Mytilus edulis: one gene and its partners. The protein of the gene in region 1 interacts with the protein of each later gene in a pairwise test. Links are inferred from orthologs where the notes say so. Each region holds a gene or a part of one and is shown in the gene's direction. Other genes may lie near its edges. The genes, in order: Golgi to ER traffic protein 4 homolog, elongation factor 1-gamma-like and ATPase ASNA1 homolog.

Region 1 (8,078 bases):
TTATTTTAATATGTATTATTATGCATATGTTAAAATGAAAATGGCAATATTTTAACCTGTATATAAATGTGTTTAACATATGGCTCATCATAACTGGTCAAAAGTATATTTTGTTGCAAATGCTATATTAATCTCCTACTGACATAACCACACACTTTAACATGTAAACATATGCAAAATATTCAATTTCAGTACCATAATCTTCAGTGAAGTAACATGTGCCAATCCTGATACATCTACATACAGATTACCATTGACCTACTTCTTCGTGACCTTGATTCCAGGGCCAGTAAACCAGTGTAATTCTACTTCTAATAGTTGGTTGCCATTGAGAAATATTCCAAATCTTTTAGTGAGTGCTTCAGTATGTAGTGTGCTTTCATGATTCAAATGATTGCAAAATTAAAAGTTAATAATCATAGTACATGTATTTAGCTCAAATTTAGGGTTGTTCAATTTTTAATTTTCTATGATTGTTCTTTTTTGGCTCCTTTTTTTTGTTTTTTGACATGGTGTTGTCATCTTGTTTTCGGTTGTGTGAGTTTGAATGTCTTTTTTGTATCTTTAAGAGATCAGAATAATATATATTAACCCAACCCTTCCTTTTTGAAAGTGACTGTACAAGTTCACTTATCTGATAGCTGTCTTTTTAAACATGGTATCTAGAAGAGTTTCCCCAATACTGCAGGTTTATGTTTGATTATAAATTGTACCCATAATTTGATTATTTTTGCTGTATATAAATAGCAAATGTCATGGATAATAAACATGTACAAGTTTATTGCACACAAATCACTCTTTTTAACAAACCATACAGGTTAATATTTAACAGCTACAACCTACTCTCTATCAGAATAAAACAGATTGTATGGTCATAGTCTCTTACACATTTGTTTTTTAGGTGTTGGTGTAAGATATTTGGTATTCAGTGTTGAATTAATTCTCAACTTGTCAAGACTATAAAGAGACTGATTCTATTCCACAACATGAATATTCAATATACTCAATGCAGAAATTTAGTTCATTGTTGGTTAACTGTGATGGAAGAAGATTGATGCTTTGTGTAAAATTTAAGCTACTGGTACTCTAAATTTAAATAATGCATTGTGCAAAAAATGTAGCTAAATAATTTGTTACACTAAATATTTAGTCATTCTGAATGATTAAAATTTCAAGTTAACTAATTATTGACCGATACTGTCATGTAAATATTTTTTTCCAAGTTAAGGTTTCTATACAATATACCAATACTTTATTGTACTTGTAATACATGTCGTACAAACAGTCACAATTGAAGGTATAGATGTAGATAGGGATATGTACTATGCAACAAACAGCTGATAGTTTGCTGTTCAGTATGAGCCAAGGATCTGTATGGAAGGCCATACATTGACCTAAAATGGTTTAGTTATACAAATTGTGACTTGGATGGAGAGTTGTCTCATTGGCACTCATACCACATCTTCTAATATATAGATGCCAAGAAAAAAACCAATTTACTTCTATTTCTTTTATTTAATTTACAGTAATATCATTTCAACATGTTTCCTTCCAGAGGATTTTTTAATAATATTTAATGTATCATGATTAAAAAAATGTACAACATTACTTACATAATACTTCAGTTGTCTTACTCTATATACCATAAGCAAAATCATTATCTAGCTCATTTTCAAAATTAAATTATTGTTTTCATAAAATTGAAGTCAGTGTCTTCCCTACAGGCTTTATGCAAAGTCATTGAAATTGGAGCCCATAGTTTAAAATTACCATTTCTCCTTTCAGTAAATTTAAAACTGCTAAACATAAAATTTAACAAAATCAGGAATATTACATTTTGGATATTAAAATGAACATTATTTTCTTGATAGGGTTTTCTATATTCCATATACCAAATTTCCTTATAAATATAATATTCTATAATCATCAAGAAAAATAAATTGGAAATGCTCTGAAATTTTTTTTCTAACTATATCCAATGTTCTTTTAAAACTCAAGAAGCAAAACCAAGGGACAAAACTCTGAAGAAAATATTTGAACTGCAAAACAATGTGAATATTTAATTACATTTCCAACTAATTTTTTTTGGCAGAGAGAAAAGGGGAGATAATCTATTACATTAATAAGATTCTTCCAGATATTGTAGACTTAAAAATGTGTTCATCTTTTTCAAGTTATGCCCTATAGCTACATTGTAAATGATGGTAGACAAAGCTTAGATAAGTTAGGATTGATCTTCTGAACTTCTATTTTTAACAACATGATTATACCTGTAAATGTATCTTTAAAAATAAATATTAACCAGATGTGCATGATTTGTAGACATATATTATTTAAAATTATAAAGCAAGAGGATATACATGTAATTTCACCCCCAAAAAATTTCCTCCAACAAAACAGATTTTCAAAAAACTTGCATATATAAATAATGTTACAATGTACATTTTGCTTTTTATGTCTTGCACATGTACACGAATAACACCTAACATGCTGTAGAACACACAACCTTTAAAATGCTCATATAATAACATGTTCATATCAACTTTCAAAACAGGATCAATTGCTAAAAATAGAAAACCTGTATTATTATTGTTTCAGCACAAACTTTATGATTAGAAAAAAATGATAAGTATTAGATTAATTTGTAATCTTATTGGTCATAAATATAATATCAATTTTCAATCTTGCTCATAATTTCATTGAATTCATACAAAAGATTTATATCTTTGACATATACATAAAATTAAAGCCATGAGTGAACAAGTGATGAATGAAATGATTTCGATGATAGTCTTATATAGCTCTGTATTTTGATTTATTTTACTATGTCAATTTTATACAATGCATAAAAATGATGTATGAACAAGTAATACTATAATCTTCTTTTTATAATCAAGATTCTAATTTAATTCCTTGCACTTCTTTCACATTCCATCAAGCATTCTCTCACTAAAATCCTAGCATGAACTATTCCCCGCTTTAATCTTTCTGCAGACATTTTACTTCCAGAATATGTTGGTCGAATGTCTTTACCCATGTCCTCGATCACTGCTAATAATTGTGTGTATTTGCTTTGAGATTGATGTCCTAGCGGAAACTGTGATCCCTGCATTTGTGCTAACATATGTTGTTGCTGTAGCTGTTGTTGGTAGGGATTCATAGCTTGTCCCATCATTTTCTGAGGAGGGGGTGTGGCTCTGACTTCCTGTTCAGATCTAGGGGTCCCTGGATTACTCACAGCAGGAGAGTTGCTATCTTCCTCCATGGCCTTCTGCAAAATAAAAATAAATATGGTTAAACTATGAGATTGTTTTTGATCTTATTATATACCAGTCAGCATGGTCAGAGATACAACTTTATAGGGTTATTACAGAAAATAACTTGTGTGTGTTATTACAGATACTTTCATGAGTTGTCTACTCTTTATTCCTGAAATTTTATAAATCTGTAATAACGTATGTTTGTTATTTGTAAAATAAATCAAAAAGATTTTATTTTATAATGGGCTCTAGGGAACTCTTGAGACTTTGCACAGAAACTAAATGCATAGCCTTGATAACTACTTGTTAATTAAATCAATACATTTTTGATTAACCATGGTAAATCAATGAGATGACGCTTTTATGGGATAAACTTAACTGTAATAACAAGGCTTAGTTATTAAATTTTGGATCTGCATCTGTTCACCTTTGTGACCCAAGATAAGTTTTAGTATTTTTTTCTTCAACATACTCTTGTATCGTAACATGCTCTAATCTATGCTATGTAATTTACTGACATGAACAGACATACGTACAGTTGTACATGTACGACATACATTTGAATGTTTATCATTACAATAACATACAAATATATTTATGTGCAATTACAAATGTAAAATGTATATATATTTCTATAAAATCAGCATTCATGTATAATCTAAATGAGCACATGCTTAATCATGTTAACAAGTTGAACTTACAGCTCTACTGATGCCTAAATTTTGAACTGTTTCTTTTGAAGGATGAGATTCTGAGTTATTTTTTGAGATATTGCATTCATTTCCATTTTGAGATTCAATTAATTCCATGCTATCTGATTCAGATCCACAAGCATCTGCATCAATTACATTTTCTGATATAGAAATAAACTTTGGCACTTCAAGTTTTCTTTTCATTTGGCTTGATCTTCCTCTTTTGGGTTTCTCTACTGGTTCCAGAATCAAATTGTTTATAGGGTTAGCATTTTCATGTGTAGGTCTCCCATCAGGAAAATGTTTTGAACAAACCCTACTGTGACTTTTTGGAGCCCAACATTCTCCAGTTTCAGGATCTGTCCTGTTGATTAAGTTTATCCACTCTTGTCTCCCCTTAGGATTTTTTCTCTCAGTTGGAAATGGAAATAATTTGAAAGGAGGATCACAAACACATCTTGAAGTTCCATAGTTGCATTGGTGTATTGGACACCAGTCCCCCATCCACTTTTGAAGGTGATAAGTTGAGTTTCCACAGTTTAAAACAGCACATAACTTCATCGTGTATCTCAAATTCCCCAGCTTCCCTACAAAGGTCAAGGAATTTGGTGCTCTGCACCTTATTCCACTTGACCCTTGAACTTTTAACGCATGCATGCACTGCTCTTGTAAACCTCGCCCACATCAAAAATTTTAATTACAAAGATTACTTGACTGTTGGGAAAATATAAATAAGTAATAAAGGAGAGATAAGGGAAGGGTTAAAATGTCTAAATTCTTTTAAGTATTAACCTTTATGTCTTGTTATGTCATGTAAAGACGAGCTCTTTGTGTTGTTGTGCTTACAAATAAGGAAGTCGACGTGTTAAAAGATTTTACAAAACGAAACATTTTTTTTCTCAAATATATTGTTGTAAAAATGAAATGTACTTATTAAAATGTGTATTAAAATATCATTAAATAACAAAACTTCATTTTTTTTTCAAACAATGTAATTTGATGAGAATAATGTACATAGATAATAGTTTCGTTTTGCAAATTTCGACGAAGAGTAAAAAAAATGGCAGCTTCTAGAAACGGTGGTGTTGACAGAGTTCTAAGAAAATGTCAATCATGTGTGGACGCCGGCAATTTTTACGAAGCTCATCAAATGTACCGGACTCTGTATTTCAGGTACAGAAAAGTACAATGGAACATGTGCTTTCAGCAAAGTATACCGTCCAACTAATGAACGGAACATATGTGCAACTGAAATTTTTATTTTTTTTTTTATTAGGGGATTCCCAATAATTTGCCAATATTCATGATATTTGGCATCCTGTTTGATTTTAGTATTCATATATAAAATAGGAATTTATGAGGTTATGCTGTCTAATAATGACTTTATTAAAAAAAACATGTTAAAGTAAAAGGTCATGAATACACTGTCACTGGGGGTCAGGAATTTTGTTTTAGATTGTCATCTGGTCAATGAGTATGAGGGTGGTAATATGAAGAATAACAGAAAAAAATTGTTGCCTAATGCTGTTAGTGGTAAGTTTTGGTGCATGTCAATACATCTTATTGTTACCACCATTGCTGGACATCACACAGGTTGCAGTAAAGTGTTGACTTCATACTACAAAATTTCTGACACCTCAAAGGAAAAGTGATTGTTGTATGACATCAATAGTTCAAGTGGCAGAGATTCACGTGTCAGCAGTAAATAGCAATAAGGTGTTTAAAATGTACACTTTCTTTTATAGTACTGCAACCAGAGTTCATTTTTTAAAACTTTAATGGTCCGGAAGAACACACACCTAAATTATATATCGATGGAAAGAGGAAAACGTGTACAATAAGAAAAGTTGGGTCGTAAAAATCCAGAGTGGTCTCAGTTTTGTGAAATTGAGGTCAAAGGTCAGACAAAAAAATATCAATATTTCAACCACAAGGACAAAAAGGAGAAATATTCTGATATTTATTCAATAGAATGCTACAAAAACGATTCAATCATAAGCATATGCTATAAACGATGCTAAAACGACAAATTTTACTACTTATACGAAGAGCTGCCATTACAAAATGGCGTTGATTTGGAACCTTCTGATTTTTTTCCATTTAAGACATAGCAAAAGAAGAAGTGGCCTTGACCTTTTCACATCCATAAACTTTCATATTGTGTATAGTATTCCGCTATAGTATATTACAGAATTATTTTCTAAAGTACAAAACACCAGTTTATCAAATTATTTTAATATTTTTTCTATCTTTGAAAAAAACTAAATCCAAGCGCTGAAACATTGTTTTTAATTTTGCATCTTAAAGGTTGTGTATTTTGTGAAAATTAGTATCTAGTTATAGATAAATACATATTGTGTATTTGCAAAGTCTGGACAGAGCAGTTATAACACAAAATATACTATAGTCACCCGAGGCGAATGCGAGGTTTAAAAAAAAATTGAGTGTAAAACAAAGTCAGTTTGGAAAAATTATACAATGCAATGCCAATTTTCTAATGTTGTAATTTAAAATCAGTCATGATCCTTATATAACTTTTAAAAGCGACACACAATAGCTCAAGTATTCAAAAAATAGGGACATGAATCAATCTCGTAGTCATCATATGCGGATTCAGTACGCGTATGAGCATTACAAGACACTTCCCTTTTTTTATAAGGACAAATTCGGCGCAGGACAGAGTTTGTGCAAAGCAAACACAGTTTTTGAGTACAAATGCTATTTGGAGCGTAAATACCGTCATGATTCGGTCAAACTCGTCAGTTATAGTGTAACCTTTGCATAGGAAACACAAAAGAAATGTGAGTACAAAGTTTCGATCAATGTTCCTGACCCATATTCCCATATTCATATGCATGATGTATCTGCACTGTCAAGCCCAAATGTAATGGTGCGAATGTTGCAATAGAAACGATTGATTTTATAATAGCCATACATTTACGAATTTTTGTTATCTTTAGGGACAATATACGGTTCAGAAGCGCCTTTGTGTTATTTTTCATCAATTAACTAACAATGGACTTTTGAGCCTAGGCTCCGTGTTGAAGACCGGACCGTGACCTATAATGGTTTACTTTTATAAATTGTGACTTGGATGGTGTGTTGTATCATTGGCACTCATACCACATCTTCCTATAACTATTAACAAGCTATGCGGGCATCATTTCCATAGAAATACCAAAACGAGGACATAGCTCATAAGAGCACTGGTGGCAGGGTGACGTAATTGTTCTTCTTTTAATGTATCCTTGATATTTTCAGACACACCTTGGTGTAATTCTGAAAGTCTTAACATAGACTTCAATTTTCCTGCAGCAGATGAGCCATCCCCTAAATTGAGTTCAGAGCTAAACTCTATATTTCATATCCCTTGGCCCCACTGTGTCTGAATTGTAAGGTGTCACACTATCTAGTTAGTTCTGGAGTTTGGCAGTTGTTTGGTAAGCATGAGAGACAATCTTGGGTAAAATTGATCGGTATATATAGAGGATGTGCTACATGAGAAAGGCTTTTTCTTATGGAAGAACAAATCACATCACTAACAATCGTTATTAAGGAACTGACAGCAAGTTCAAATTCTAATTTTTCAGTAACTGTTTTACTTAATTGCACAGGTGTTGACTTCAATAAGTACTTGGTTATGCATGGATAAATGATTACTCACATTAATATGCACAACTTAAAAGACTGTCAACACGTTTAGAGGACTCAGTTTTGCGTGGTTTTCTGGGGTTTTTTTTTTAAGGTTTTTCTTTTACACAAAAACTCTGTTTTCATATCAAACTATAAGGAAGAAACTGAGTGCGAGATCGTAAAAAAGTGTCAGGTTGTGAGGATACATGTCGATAAGTTTGATCACATACATGTATATGGATTTCTGTTGTTTCTAATTTAAAGTTTCCCAAGGGTGACTGGGGAACCGAAATATGGTCACTTGGTCCTCCCCCGACCGGCAGTAAAACGAAGCGGGGCGTCCGTTTGGCTGTGCGGGATGTATCAAGTTCGCAGTCACATCCGGTCAGAATTGGGACGTTAAATCCGATGCCTCGTGTAAAGGGAGTGTCACGTTCTTTGCACGTTAAAAACCCTTGCATCAACTCTTTGAGGGGTCCGTAGGTGGCATGTT
Region 2 (7,380 bases), on another chromosome or scaffold:
ATCTACACTCAGTGATCCAGAGTTGTCCAAATCTAATTTACGAAACCGCTTACCAAGTCTTTTAATTTCATCTGCATCAACTGAAAAATATAAATCAAAATTATATTATTATATAGACTTTGCACTTGCATCACCCTAAACAAAATATTTCAAGAAAGGGTCCAACAATTAATACAAACATTTTTTATATATTTTCACATGTAAAGTTACTTCAAAAACTAATTGTATTATGAAGTATTGTATAATGAAGCAAGAAAATTTATAAGAAATTTGCTTTCATACCTCCAACCAGATATTTGATTTAAATACATGTAATTTATCTGTACCCCAAGTCCTCAAGATCAGGACCTCAATTCAGACTTGGGGTAATTGTAATCGTTAATCAGCTGTAATTGAATACAATTTTTCAAGTAATCATTTTAATCAGCCAAAAATCTGATTACATGTAATTTAATTTAATCAATTACTTTTCAAAATACCCTGTAATCCTGATTACTTTTTGATTACATTATGATTACAATGTTGATGGTCAAGAAATTAACATTTTTAATATTCTTATTTGATAAATATTTAATATGTTAAGATAGTTTGGTTTACTTTATTAAGCATGTTGATTGATTTGTATACTTCAGTTAAAAATAAACTGTTACAGTATATAAAAGCCCCCATTATCCTAAGAGACATATAAATACAATTATATGTCTTTGGCCTTAGTAAAAAATATTGTACATATATTGACAATTTAAAGATGTACATATACATATTTGATAATAACTGTTATATTCTAGTGATAATTATCTTTAACCCTAAATTATTATCTTTTGGTAATATTTTTGTCAACTTTGAATTGACAGGTAGATAACCAATTAAGGTTTGTTTTTATTGAAATTACCAAATGAGTATAGCTGCAGGACAATACATATGATAAAAGATTAATCAGACATTCAAAATTTCTCTAATTAACACAAACTAAATTAAAAGTTGGGGAAAAAAATCTTGTTTAAAATAAGCAAAATTTTGTATGTATTTGGACTGGACATGTAAAATGCAATGATTTTTAGTATTTGAATTTTGTTTACAATTTAATTAAACAATTCTATAAAACTGCACCTTGAAATACAAATAAAGTCTGGAAGAGGTTAGAAGACAAGCAGCAAACTCTTTATAAAGCTTTATTCAATTGAAGTCAAAATAATTCAGAGATCAATCTTGATGAAGGTAATGGGTCAAACCATAGACACAATGTTCATGTATAAATGTATGTATGTAGTGAACTTTCGTGGTTTATTAAATAGATGAGGTTTAAAGTTATCATTTTATAATATATCAAACCTAATCCTTTCTAAAAATTCTATAAAAACTATTAAATGCTATTGAACTTTTATTCATTCACATCATTCAAAAGGTTTTTTTTAATTCATTGTAATCAGATGTAATCATAATTACTTTGCCAATGTATCATTAATTTAATCAGACACTTTCAGAAATGATGTAATCGTTAATTTAATTTAATCGCACAAATGACAAAGTAATTGTAATTTAATCAATTACATTGAAAGTAATCGGACCCATCTCTGCCTCAATTATATTTGTGGGCATGGTGAAGGTCATTTGGAGAATGTTACAAATGGTCAAAATTGGCCCCTAAAATTCCAAGAATTTAACTTCAGTAAATATAGCTATATATAGTAGCCTTTGATGAAAGACTGCAACAAATGTTTGATAATTATAAAATCATCAATTTCTAAATAAAGCATTTGAACTTAAAATGTGGCTGAACAATAATTAAATGTCATACTTTCAAAGCTTTAAACATTGACTAAATCAAACAGAGGACAAAAGCTTTACACATTGACGAAAACAAACAGCAGACAAATAAAAAAAGTTGAATCTAAATTTCCATATTAATAAGATGTAGTAAAATTAAATAGTAGTTTTTACTGCTATTGGCCGTTAAGTAAATCTTGTATCATCTGTATTGTTGTTCATTTTTAACTTTTCAAATTTCAAATATAATTCTTAAGATAAAAGGCAACATTGTGAAAATTAGTTTGAAATTCATTTAAGGCATATCATCTGAAATTTTTCAAAATAACATAAAAACTTTTTATTCGCAAGTATCAATCAAATCATATTTAAATCTACTTACAGTTTGAACATAATTCCAAAGGAAGTGATGCTTCATTTCCCTAAAACAGATAAAAGCAATAAGTTAAAATTGAGAATTGGGAATGTGTCACACAAAGAGATAACCTGCCCAAAGAGCAGAAAACAGCAAAAGCCACCAATGGGTATTCCACACAGTGAGAAAATCCCACATCTAGAGGCAGGCTTTATCTGGCCCTTAAACAAAATATGTATATATTATAATGACTTGAGACTGGCAGCTGATTTTATAATAACATAAACATATGTCATAGCAATATTTACTTGATATGTATTTGAAAGAATCGACGCCGGTTCCTCAAATCAACGTTCTAATCTGACTCCACATTCTCAAATCTACATCCAATATTGTGATACTCTTAGCGTGTCCAATTTGAATCGATGTCATGTATTGCCAAACAGATGTATCCAACAATATGTCATGGGATATTATGGATACCCATACCAACAACATCACAGCTAAAGCAAACAAGATGTTAGGCTTTTTACGAAGAAACTTGAAAATTAATCAGGAAGAAACAAAAAGTTTGGCTCGCAAAAACAATGGTACGATAAAACTTCTAATACGGCTCTTCAGTTTGGTCCCCTTTAACACCCAAAAACAAAAAAAATAATATTGAAAAGGTACAAAGAACATGAAGAAGGACCACATTACGTCACCAACAAGTACCATAACACCAGTAGTGCCACTTCCATGATTGACGATCTTAAATGGAAGTCACTAGAAACTCGCAGAAACATTAATCAAGTAACTATAATGTCTGAGATCACACACCAACTTATAGCAGTCGATTCAAATCTTTACCTCACACCACAGCCAGATAAAAACACCAGACTCACTATAGAGGGTGGTAAAGGGGGGCCCTCAACACGGAAACAGGTGAAATAAAAATGGCAAAAACGTTGCACGGAAAATAAAAATCGGAAAAAACGAAGCACGAGAAATAAAATAGTAAAAATTTATGTAAAAAGTAAAATAATTTATTAATCAGCCGTTCTTGGAGATCATCTAGCCATTATATATGATGGACATGATGACCCTACAGTCACATTTTAGCGTCGGCTAGTCGCAACTGATTTGAAAGAAAAATATTATTCATAATAGATCATAATAATTAATTATAGCAATTTTAAATATTCTGCATGGGAACACATAATTTAAATCAATCTCCAGACTGACCGGGGCTTTGAATTTAATCCCGGCCGTACTCTTAATCAATTGCAGGACAAGCACGAGAAATTAAGAGTAATGACACGAAACACGGAAAATAAATAAAGGAGAACACGAGGCACGCACGTCGAGCCAAACACGAGAAAACGAGAAATAAAACTTCAAAACACGAAAACACGTGAATTAAAAAGGCGGAAAACGTTGCACGAAAATAACCCTTTACCACCCTCACTATACAATCTCAAACTTTCAGCACCAGAACAGATTACTTTCAGTACAGCTTTTTTCCATACTCAGTTGTACTCTGAAATTTACTTCCACAAAACATCATTAGTGTTTATAATTCTTTGGATCAGTTTAAAAGGATTGGTTTAAAATACTGATCCAAAGCCAGTATATTTAGATATCTACGTACCTTGTTTGTATATACATGTAAGACATGTATTGATGTAAATGTTATTTTTTTTTATTTTTGCACAAATTTAATTTTTGATTACTGGACTCTCAGATTGTTACTTTTTATTAAGTGTCTTTATGCAATGTGCTGATAAATCAACCTACGATGTAGACCTTATAAGGACATTTATTGATATTAAATTAATTATTATGCTGTAAATGTGTTGTCTGTTAGAAAATCTTTCTTTTTGCAATTGATTAATTCACGTATACAGAAGTAATAGTTTCTTAGAAAATGTAGTTGAAGCATCGAGTATTTGACATCGATGAGGTTGTACCCAAAATTTCCCCCTTTTTCCCTGTCCAGTTTCAGAATCATGGACATAAAATTGGTACAAATGAACCAAAATTATTGTATTTTAGAGTGTAGGATACAAAAATCATATCATAACAAATATGCAACATCAAATATGTTTCAATGAGGCACTTATGTTACCATTTTCAACTAAAACTGTATTTCTGTTTCGATCAATTAAATATTTTAGTTCGATATTGACAACTCTAGACGAAACATCCGGGCACTTGAAGCAATTCTATCGAAAAGCGCATGACATACCGGAAAGTTCAAATGTAACTTCCTTTTTTACCGGTGCAATGGCTACAGGGGTACTACACATTGACATACGTGACAATCAATATAGAATCAACGCAATCTTTCCTCAAACAATAAATTTACCTCTGGAAAACTGAAAAACAATAAATAATCTTTGTCTTTTTTTAATTTTGTAGACTCTTTACACATACCCTGACAACTTCAGAGCTTTCAAAGCTCAAATTGCAGCGGAGTACAGCCGTACAACAATCAAGCTTGCAAGTTTCAAGTTCGGTGAAACCAACCAAACTCCAGATTTCTTGTCTAAATTTCCGCTTGGAAAAGTAAGTCGCTTTTTAAATGTGGTCACACATCGAAACATTGATATGGGTAAGATACATATGTGTCGAGAAATAAACTCTGAAAATGCAGACAATATTTTTACGGATTTTGACTAGCAGATGATGGTACATTTGTAGAATTAACAAACATCTGATATGCATATATATGATACTGTCCACTAACGAGCCAGTTCTTTGCATAAAAATTAACATCAAAATTATTTTTATTGATTTTCCTCTTTTTGTAAATTAATTTTTATTTGTTTTTGTTCCTCTAAATACTCAAAAGCTTTTGTTATTTTTAACTTGGCTTGTACTGGTTGACACACATGCACAGTGTATCTGCGTTGACTGCAGATTAACCACATAGAAGTAGAAGTAATTTCAAGAGCTGTACACATAATATTGTATGTCACCTTAAACACCTTATCGCTAATTGACCGCCATTACTGTATACCACATAGGTTCCCACAAAATCTGACACCACAATAGAAAAGTGTATTGCTATTTGAAAATCTGTCCCTATTGACCTGAGAATCTGCCCCATTTTGCCTTGAACTGTTATTGGCGTACAACAAATTGTCAACAATCATTTTTCCATTGTGACGTCAGAAATTTTACATGAATGGTGCCCATAAACACCTTATCTATATTCCAAGCTGACCTAGAGAATTTGTCTGGCTTGAACTATTGATGTCATACAACAATCTTTTCCATTTAGGCGACATATATATTTGTATAATGACCTAAAAATTTCATGGAACCATGGACAAATACAATGTAGCTATAACTTGTATAAGGTGTATTGTACTGCTTACACGTAACAGTCGGGTCAACACATGATTGATCAATTGTTGCTAGTATTTTGCTATATAGTGACAAATATTTGATATTCTTATTGAAAGTTCATAATCTTTTTGTTTGCTTGAATGATAAAAAAATGTAGAACCTTCATCAAAGGCATGTTTGCTGGTTTTTAATGGCAAATGTGTAAGAACTGAAGGCAGAGAAAGGTTTTTTTCTGATCACATGAAGGATTGATACCATTCAACTTTTTCATATTCAGAATAACTACATGTACATGTATTCAAATAAAGTTGTCACATAATTGAATTAGTGGTTAAACTTTCATCTTTCTTGCATTGTCTCTTGCTGAGAAATTTTATCTACATGGCAAAACATGAACTTGTCAGATATTTGTTAAAGGGCAATGTCAGATGGCGGTACATAGACATTTAGTATCCCTTGGCAGATTCAATGACAGTTATACCAACTCCCCTTCTTCCTTATTTGTTCAAGTTTGTGTCTGAATGACTTTCTGTGTTTTTTGCTGCTGATTCAGACCAGGAATTTCCAAGGAGGGGGGGAGGGGTATTTGGACTCGGGAACTCTACTTTAACAGTCACAATTTGTTTTCAAGGGGGGAGGAGTTCGTCCGCAACCCTCGAACCCCCCTGGCTACGGGTATGTGATTTACTTATCCTATACATCGACCCATTGGCATTCTGGATAAGAAAATGTGCATGTAAGACTAAGAGTCAGTGATTTGTCTAGGTAGGGTGACGTCTGGCAAACTCATCTAAGTACACAAAAAATAAAGCTTAATGTGTTGGTTTAGTCCATAGCAGGAGTCAAACAGAATATTTTTTTTACAATTACACTCGGATGGTCCTAGTATAAAGAGTTTTCATCACATTACATACAAATACATAAGATAAGACAAAATTTGGAAAACAAGTTAAAACTAATACAGTAATTGTTGAATAAAGTCACGACAGAACACAAATTGCTATACATTTTCTCTTGATGTGCTTGTAATATTTTCCACTGGACATTAAAATTCATAATCATTATAGTGTGGTAATATTGGGTTCTTGATAGCAAATTAAAAAGAAGTAAAGATGTATGGCAGTGTCATAATGGCGGTCAACACATTAATCCATTGTTACTAGCTTAATGAACATTCAGAATAATAATCATTTAGGAAATTATGTCTTCCAATAAGATGCAACCTTCAAGGCATGTTTGCTGGTTCATATGGCAAATGTGTAAGAACTGAAGGAAGAGCAAGGTTTGTTCTGATCAGATGACCAGGTTAATAAATTTAGGCGTGATCATATTCAGAATAACTACATGCAGTATATTATGGTCCAGAATGATCATGATGTATATTTACTTTCTCTTGTCTTCATAGGATTTAATGTAAAAAAGAAAAAATAACCAACTTTTATCAATAATGCCAATGTTCACATCCCTATTTAAGATTTAGATCTTAATGATTATTATGGAGAGTGGCAATGGAAAATATTAATTTTCACTTGATTATAAATTAAGTAAGATGGATCTAATGTATGTATTTGTAAGTTTTAAAATGTATGTCATTTTATTTTTCAGGTTCCAGCATTTGTTACAGCTGGAGGAGATTGCATATTTGAAAGCAATGCCATTGCACACTTTCGTATGTACTTTATATATTTTATTTTTACTCGCATGAATTACAAAATGTATGCATACAATTAGACATGCACATGCTACGTTAAGTCGGACCACAAAAAAAGAGCAATATGCATGTACTACATCATGTAAATGTAAGCCAGTGTTCTCCCCAGGATTTTTGGATAGCGCTGTGGTAAGCGCGTGATTTTCGACAATTCTCAGTAACTTTGTCGCGGCGCGCGGTTGGTTTGTAATTGATTTGTTATGTGTTTTTCTTA
Region 3 (7,093 bases), on another chromosome or scaffold:
CGGCACTTTGTAACTAAAACAGGGGTGTGTTTTTTTCACATGTCGCACCGTATCTCAAAAACGATTCTTGATTATGGCTTAAAACTTTAAACACTTCTTAGTTATATTAATCTTAATATCTGTATACTTTTTGGTGATGATTCAAAATTTTATTTTTGAGTTATTGAGTATTTTGTAAAAAAGGGGGAGGTTTTTTTTACATGTCGCACCATATCTCAAAAGCGATTTATGATTATTGCTTAAAACTTTACACATGTCTTTGTTATATTAATCTTAAGATCTGTATACTTTTTGGTGATGATTCAAAATTTCATATTTGAGTTATTGAGTATTTTGTAAAAAAGGGGGAGGTTTTTTTTACATGTTGTGCTGTATCTCAAAAACAATTTATGATTATTGCTTAAAACTTTACACACTTCTTTGTTATATTAATCTAAAGATCTGTATACCTTTTGGTGATGATTCAAAACTTTATTTTGGAGTAATTGAGTATTTTGTTAAACAGGGGAGGGTTTTTTTACATATCGCCCCGTATCTCAAAAATAATTTATGATAATGGCTTAAAACTTTACACACTTCTTTGTTATATTAATCTAAAGATCTGTATACCTTTTGGTTTTGATTCAAAATTTTATTTTAGTGATATTTAGTTTTTTGTAAAAAAAAAAAAAACAGGGTTGGGGGTTTCACATGTCCCACCGTGTCTCAAAAACAATATATGGTTATTGCTTAAAACTTTCTCAGAAACTATTTATGATTATTGCATCAAACTTCCACACAAGACGTCGGGCGTATCATGCGCTCATGGCGCAGCTGTTTATTTTTACATGTTGTGTCGTATCTCAAAAACCATTTATGATTATTGCTTAAAACTTTACGCACTTCTTTGTTATATTAATCTAAAGATCTGTATACTTTTTGGTGATGATTCAAAACTTTATTTTGGAGTTATTGAGTATTTTGTTAAACAGGGGAGGGTTTTTTTTACATGTCGCGCCGTATCTCAAAAATAATTTTTGATTATTGCTTAAAACTTTACACACTTCTTTGTTATATTAATCTAAAGATCTATATACTTTTTGGTTTTGATTCAAAATTTTATTTTAGTGAAATTTAGTTTTTTGTAAAAAAAAACAGGGTTGGGGATTTCACATGTCCCCGCCGTGTCTCAAAAACAATATATGGTTATTGCTTAAAACTTTCTCAGAAACTATTTATGATTATTGCATAAAACTTCCACACAAGACGTCGGGCGTATCATGCGCTCATGTCGCAGCTGTTTATTCTAGTTTCAAGACAATAACTTATGTGTAATTGTATGGATCTCTCTGAAATTGTACCACAGTGTACCATATAACAAAGGGGAGGCTGTTCCTTCGGAATTGAGTTTAAGGGTTATTGCTCCAAGGGGGTTTCAAAAAGTTGGGGGGGGGGGGGATTTTTTGTTTACCATTTTTTGAAGGGCTTCCTTTTTTTTCAAAATTTTTCAAATTTCGAATTTTGAAAAGTTTGAAGAAGAAATCTTCAATTGCACATTAATTTTGTGACAAAAACCTATATTATGTCAAAAATTTGATCACAATTCAAATTCAGACAGAATCAAGCTTGAATATTGTGACCAAATTTGCCCCAACTGTTCAGGGTTCAACCACTGGGGTCGTATAAAGCTGCGCCCTGCGGAGCACCTGGTTTATATAAATATTGTTTTACAAACTTTTGAATTATTCAAAATACTAAGAATTTCCTAGCTCTTGGCACAGACAGTTTAAAATAGTCCTATTTAGTAAGACTTTATTATTTGATTTTTTACCAAGTCCTCAATGCCCTTAAAACACAATCTATATTCTCTACGATAACCTTGAATCATTCAAATAAAGTTCGATTAAAATTGGTTCAGTAGTTTCAGTCAGAAGATCTTACACTGAACCAATGGATAACGTAAGTCAAATATCGTCGGACAAGCTACTTAAATAACAGTTGGTAAGAAAATGTTGGGCCAACATTGGGCCAATAACACCAAAATGACAGTTGGTCGAAAGTCGTTGGGCCAACAAGGGCCAATAGTGTCAAAATAACTGTTGGCTGAGTTTTGTTGGGCCAACGTCGGTTTCTTGTTGTGCTGCCAACGCCAACTATTTACCAACTGTGCCAACCAATCACCAATGTTGGCCCAACAAAGTATTGCTATCTGGGAAATTATAAACCTGACAGACAAAATAATTATTGTTCGTGATCAATAATAAGCAGTGCCGAAGGAAAGATTTATTACTGAGAGGGGACACAATGTAAATTGAAATATAAACAAATTCAAGGATTATTGCATGTTTTTCTACGGGCCTGTCAAGTAGGCTAAGATGAAGCAATGCTCTTGACCTGTTAAAAGTGTATTTTATTAAATCATCTTGTTGTCAAGCCGTCAATATGATAATTAAAAGAGACGGCAATATATGCAGTGCGTGTTATACATCATATACCTTATATTTGATCATATTTTTTTTAAAAGACACGATATGATTGCTAACAAAAAATAAACGTGCGGAAACAACTGTATCAAGTGAATTTGGCTAAGTTTTGGTTATCAAATAACAATAACTGTGAACATCCATCAATGGAAGCACTAGGGCCCATTCAAGGCAGCATAACCAGCGGACACAGGGTCGGATCCAGTCATTATTAAAAAGGGGGTTCCATACAAAAGCATTAGTTGTATATATGTAGTCAAAATCACTGGAAAGAACTGATGAGAATTTGGACTTGTTACTTCAAGGAACTAGCACTTAAATCATGCAGAACAATACACATCAACACGTCATTGTTGAGAAACAAATGAAAACCTTGCTGTTGTTTGGAAATCACCGTTCTCATTCATTTAAAAGAATGTTTTCTTACTTTTTTTTTTAAAGATTAAAGAAAACTGGGGAATAAATTAGAGAATAATGCGTAAAAAATCACTTTTAAAGAATAGACTTATTTTTTGAAGATTAAAGAAAAAAGGGGTGAAAATTAAATGTTTACAGAATAACAGAACCCCAACCCCCCCATCCAGACCCTCATAAATAATATTGTAATTTTACACTACTACTTCAGGTTAGGGTGAAGGTTGGTGCTAGTAAAAACATTTAAACCCACTACATTTGTTTGCATCTTTCCTTAGTCAGGAACCTGTTGTTCAGTGGTTTTCGTTTGTTGGTGTGGTTAAAATGGACATCACAATCACTATAAATGTATAATTACAAATAGATATCACAATTATTATCCACCCTTTTTTTACTTTAAGCAGTTTTGTCAATTCAAAATAAGGGACAAAATGGGAATAGATAAAAATCTACATTTTGAAACAAGATGTGTAAAAAGTAAAATAACAAAGACACTGAACTCCAAGGAAAATTCAAAACCAAAAGTCCCTTATCAAATGCTCAAACACATCAAAGGAAAGGAAAACAACTGTCATATTCTTGACTTGGTACAAGCATTTCCTCATGTAAACCTGGTTTTATAGCTAGCTAAACACCTCACTTGTATGGCAGTTGCATACAATTCCATTGTATTATTTTTTTTTTTTTTAAATGTTCTGATCTTCAATTTAATGAAAAAAAATATTCCAAATCCAGATTTTCTCCATAACTTTAATATAGTGAAAAGTTTTGAGAGGAAAAAAAATGATTAATAGCGTTGAAATAAAAAATGTAATTTTTTGCGCAATTTTCTTTTTAATTGGACAAAAAACCTTGACCCCCGCTTGAAGTTCAATGGCTACGCCGTAATAGCTACGGAAAGAATGACATACAAGTTAAAAATAGGGGTACAGTAGTCAACATTACTTTTCTTTCATTTTGCACAGGAATGAACATTTGAATTATCTAGTCTGTTTGATTCTGAATATTTAAATTAATCAACAAATTTTGGGAGGAATGTCTACTCCTGAAAACTTGCAAAACGGTCATGGACGACCATTCTTAGGGACGAATCTGACTTGTTTGTCCGCTAGGAGTCTCCGGTCTCGAAACCGGAAGTAATACTTGGAATAACAAAAAAATGGCAAACTTAAAAGATCTAGATGACGAATTTGAACAGCTGGATCCTTCACTTAAAAATATAGTAGACCAAGCTTCCCTGAAATGGGTATTTGTCGGTGGAAAAGGTGGTGTGGGAAAAACGACAACAAGGTGATTACTACTATTTTTCTTTTATGGCGATCCGACACAGGCACTTGTTTCTGTCAATATAGGGTTTACTATCCATACCTGTACGAAACATACAGGCACTTGTTTTTCGTACGGGTATGGATAGTAAACCCCATATTGACAGAAACAGGTGCCTGTGATTGTAAATGAAAAAAATGAGTATTCAAATATATGTTGATTATCGTCGTGTCATATGTTTTCGTATGTCATATGTTTTCGTATCAACCACATTTCGTCGGTTTCGACTGCATACGCGTACATTGTGGCATGTTTTTCTGTTTCTATATTTAGAACAACAACACCACTACAACTTGATATATTTAAAACATATTCAACGTCGCTTTTTAAAGACGTTAGAACAAATTAAATAAAACTGACCTATTTAGCCATTTTTATTTAATGTCAAAAATACGCATCACTAGAATAGTTGTGGAAAAAAATTCTGAAGGGTTAAAATAAAGTCCAGATACGTTTTTTGCAAGTCAGACACCGGATCTTCAAGACGTATGACTGTCATGTGTTTTTTTGGCCGTTTTAATTACAAACCATCGAGTTAAAATTAGCAGGGTTCTTATATAAAATGGTTGTTCAAAATCTAACTATTCAATATTTCATTGACAATTTTTTTTATACATCCTTGATACATGAAGATGAAAACAGTCTTAACTTTTTATATTTAATCATAAATTTTGAAAACTGCATTTTATTTTAGAAAAAATAATGTATTTTGTACAAACCAGGTGCCAATCTGAAATTAATCAAAATCTAAAAATTTCATCACACGAAACACCAACCTTACACTTTTTACTAGTAATTTTTTGTACTGAAAAGTATTTAATAACTTTTTTAAGATTTAAGCGATCACCCGAACCACGACTTTAGAAAAAATGTATTTCCGGATTTTGTAGTCATTTCCTGTCCGTGTACTGATCCAATTTTATTTCATACGAAAACTTATGACGCCGTTTTTTTGACATACAAAAATCGCAAAGTAATCGGAAACAGTAAAAAATCGTAGAAATCATTGACAAAAAAACTAGATACCTAAAATCAATCTACAGGACATGCTTTTTAAATTTGAGTAAACACCTAAATAAAAACTCAACAGTAAAAACCGTAAGCAGTGAAAATTGTTATTAGTACGAAAACACATTACACGATGATATGTTTTATTACCGTACAAGTTTTCAAGGCTAGTAAAGTATAGTTTATCTATGTGTGATGGGATCACTACCTTTGGTATGTTAAGTATATACTTACCCATCAGCTTAGCTAGAGATGTACCTTTCATTTGCCTTTCTTTAGGTCAGTTGAGGGGGGTAGGGTCCTGATCGCAAAATCCTGGGCTTGAAAACAAATCCCGGTCCATTTGCACCCAATCCGGTTCGCACCCACTCAAGTTCATCCCTTTCTCTTTCGCGCCCATTCATGTACCCCCCTTTCACTTTGCACCTCAAGTCTATTCGCACCCTACGCAATAGCACCTTAAGTCTGTTCACGCCCAATAACTTGTAACTCCTGGATCAGTTCATTCCTATCAAACAGGAAACAACAGGTAGTATTGGAAGGTGCTAGATCTCAACAAGACGATGTTCTGTCAGGTGTGCCACAGGGCACAGTACTAGGTCCTTTATTGTTCCTAACATACACCAATGACATGCCCGGATATACTCAATCAGATGTCCGCCTCTTTGCTGATGACAGTCTACTATACAGGGAAATTAGTAACACCAAAGATACAGAACAACTTCAGAAAGACCTTGAAGCATTAGAAAGTTGGGAAAAAACATGGATGATGAGATTCAATCCAACAAAATGCAATATTATCCGCATACCACCAAAGAACAAAGAACCTATACAATACCCATACACTCTGCATGGACACATACTCGAACCAGTAGATAGTGCCAAGTACTTGGGAGTTTCAATATCAAACAACCTCTCATGGAACAAACATATCCAGAGTGTTACAGCAAAGGGTAACCGAACACTTGGGTTTGTCAAACGAAACCTTAAAGAATGTACCAGGAAAGTAAAGGCAGCTGGCTATACAACACTCGTGCGACCTGTCATAGAGTATGCTTCTACTATATGGGACCCAACCAACCAAGCAAGCATCAACACACTAGAACTTATACAGAGGAGAGCTGCTAGATTTGTCTATAATGACTACACATCACGCACACCAGGGTGCGTCACTACAATGTTAGAAGATCTTAAATGGGACACATTACAGACAAGACGCCGTGACAACAGGCTATGCATGCTCTATCGTATCCAGAATGAGCTGATAGACATCAACAAGAGTACTTACCTCAAAGGTGGCGACAGTAGAACTCGTGGAGGACACAAGTTTTACCAACAGAGGGTCACCAGTGATGTCTACAGGAACTCCTTCTTTCCAAGAACAATCATGGAATGGAATACATTACCTGCCAGGGTTGCTGAAGCGGGATCAGTTGAAGATTTTCGCTCAGGGCTACAGACAACACATTAATACCAGACTGGACGATTGTACATAATTTTAACCGTAACAACCTGATTTTATTGTAAATACTGTATATAGCCTTAGGGGACTAGATATGTGATGTCACCATGCGTAGTCCCGCAGAGTTTAAACGTTTCATTAAAGGAACCCAACTCTTATATGGAAGAAGAAGAAGAAGAAGAAGCAAGTTTTGGTAAGTGTATTGCTAAAAGTATTTTTTTTTCACTGTTTCTAAATAAATTGAGATTCTAATGACATTTTTTTTGTGTTGAATAAATGGTTAGCATGGTAAGTGTACATATTGCTATAAATATATATTTTCATTGTTTTTAGTATAATGAGATTCTGAAGATGTTTTTTTTCATGTTTTTGGTGTTGAATAAATGGTTAGCATGGTAATGTATATATGTATGTATGTTCC

The links.
Region 2: the proteins of Golgi to ER traffic protein 4 homolog (region 1) and elongation factor 1-gamma-like interact in a two-hybrid assay, tested with the Homo sapiens proteins (2 studies listed by BioGRID and IntAct, with this or other methods). The link is inferred for Mytilus edulis from reciprocal best matches to the Homo sapiens genes GET4 and EEF1G.
Region 3: the proteins of Golgi to ER traffic protein 4 homolog (region 1) and ATPase ASNA1 homolog interact in binary tests that used the Homo sapiens proteins (3 or more experiments, as listed by UniProt). The link is inferred for Mytilus edulis from reciprocal best matches to the Homo sapiens genes GET4 and GET3.

The regions. Positions count from the first base shown.
Region 1 is NC_092352.1:43,454,829-43,462,906, forward strand, and holds the start of Golgi to ER traffic protein 4 homolog, read left to right. Parts: upstream 1-5,009; 5' UTR 5,010-5,012; coding exon 5,013-5,125; intron 5,126-8,078. Other genes in the region: uncharacterized protein, read right to left, coding at 2,906-3,271, 3,962-4,609. UniProt on the Homo sapiens protein: As part of a cytosolic protein quality control complex, the BAG6/BAT3 complex, maintains misfolded and hydrophobic patches-containing proteins in a soluble state and participates in their proper delivery to the endoplasmic reticulum or alternatively can promote their sorting to the proteasome where they undergo degradation.
Region 2 is NC_092346.1:58,349,784-58,357,163, reverse strand, and holds the start of elongation factor 1-gamma-like, read left to right. Parts: upstream 1-4,280; 5' UTR 4,281-4,387; coding exon 4,388-4,399; intron 4,400-4,522; coding exon 4,523-4,669; intron 4,670-7,060; coding exon 7,061-7,124; intron 7,125-7,380. Other genes in the region: calcineurin subunit B type 1, read right to left, coding at 1-80, 2,150-2,189, 4,230-4,232. UniProt on the Homo sapiens protein: Probably plays a role in anchoring the complex to other cellular components.
Region 3 is NC_092344.1:91,836,733-91,843,825, reverse strand, and holds the start of ATPase ASNA1 homolog, read left to right. Parts: upstream 1-3,985; 5' UTR 3,986-4,035; coding exon 4,036-4,166; intron 4,167-7,093.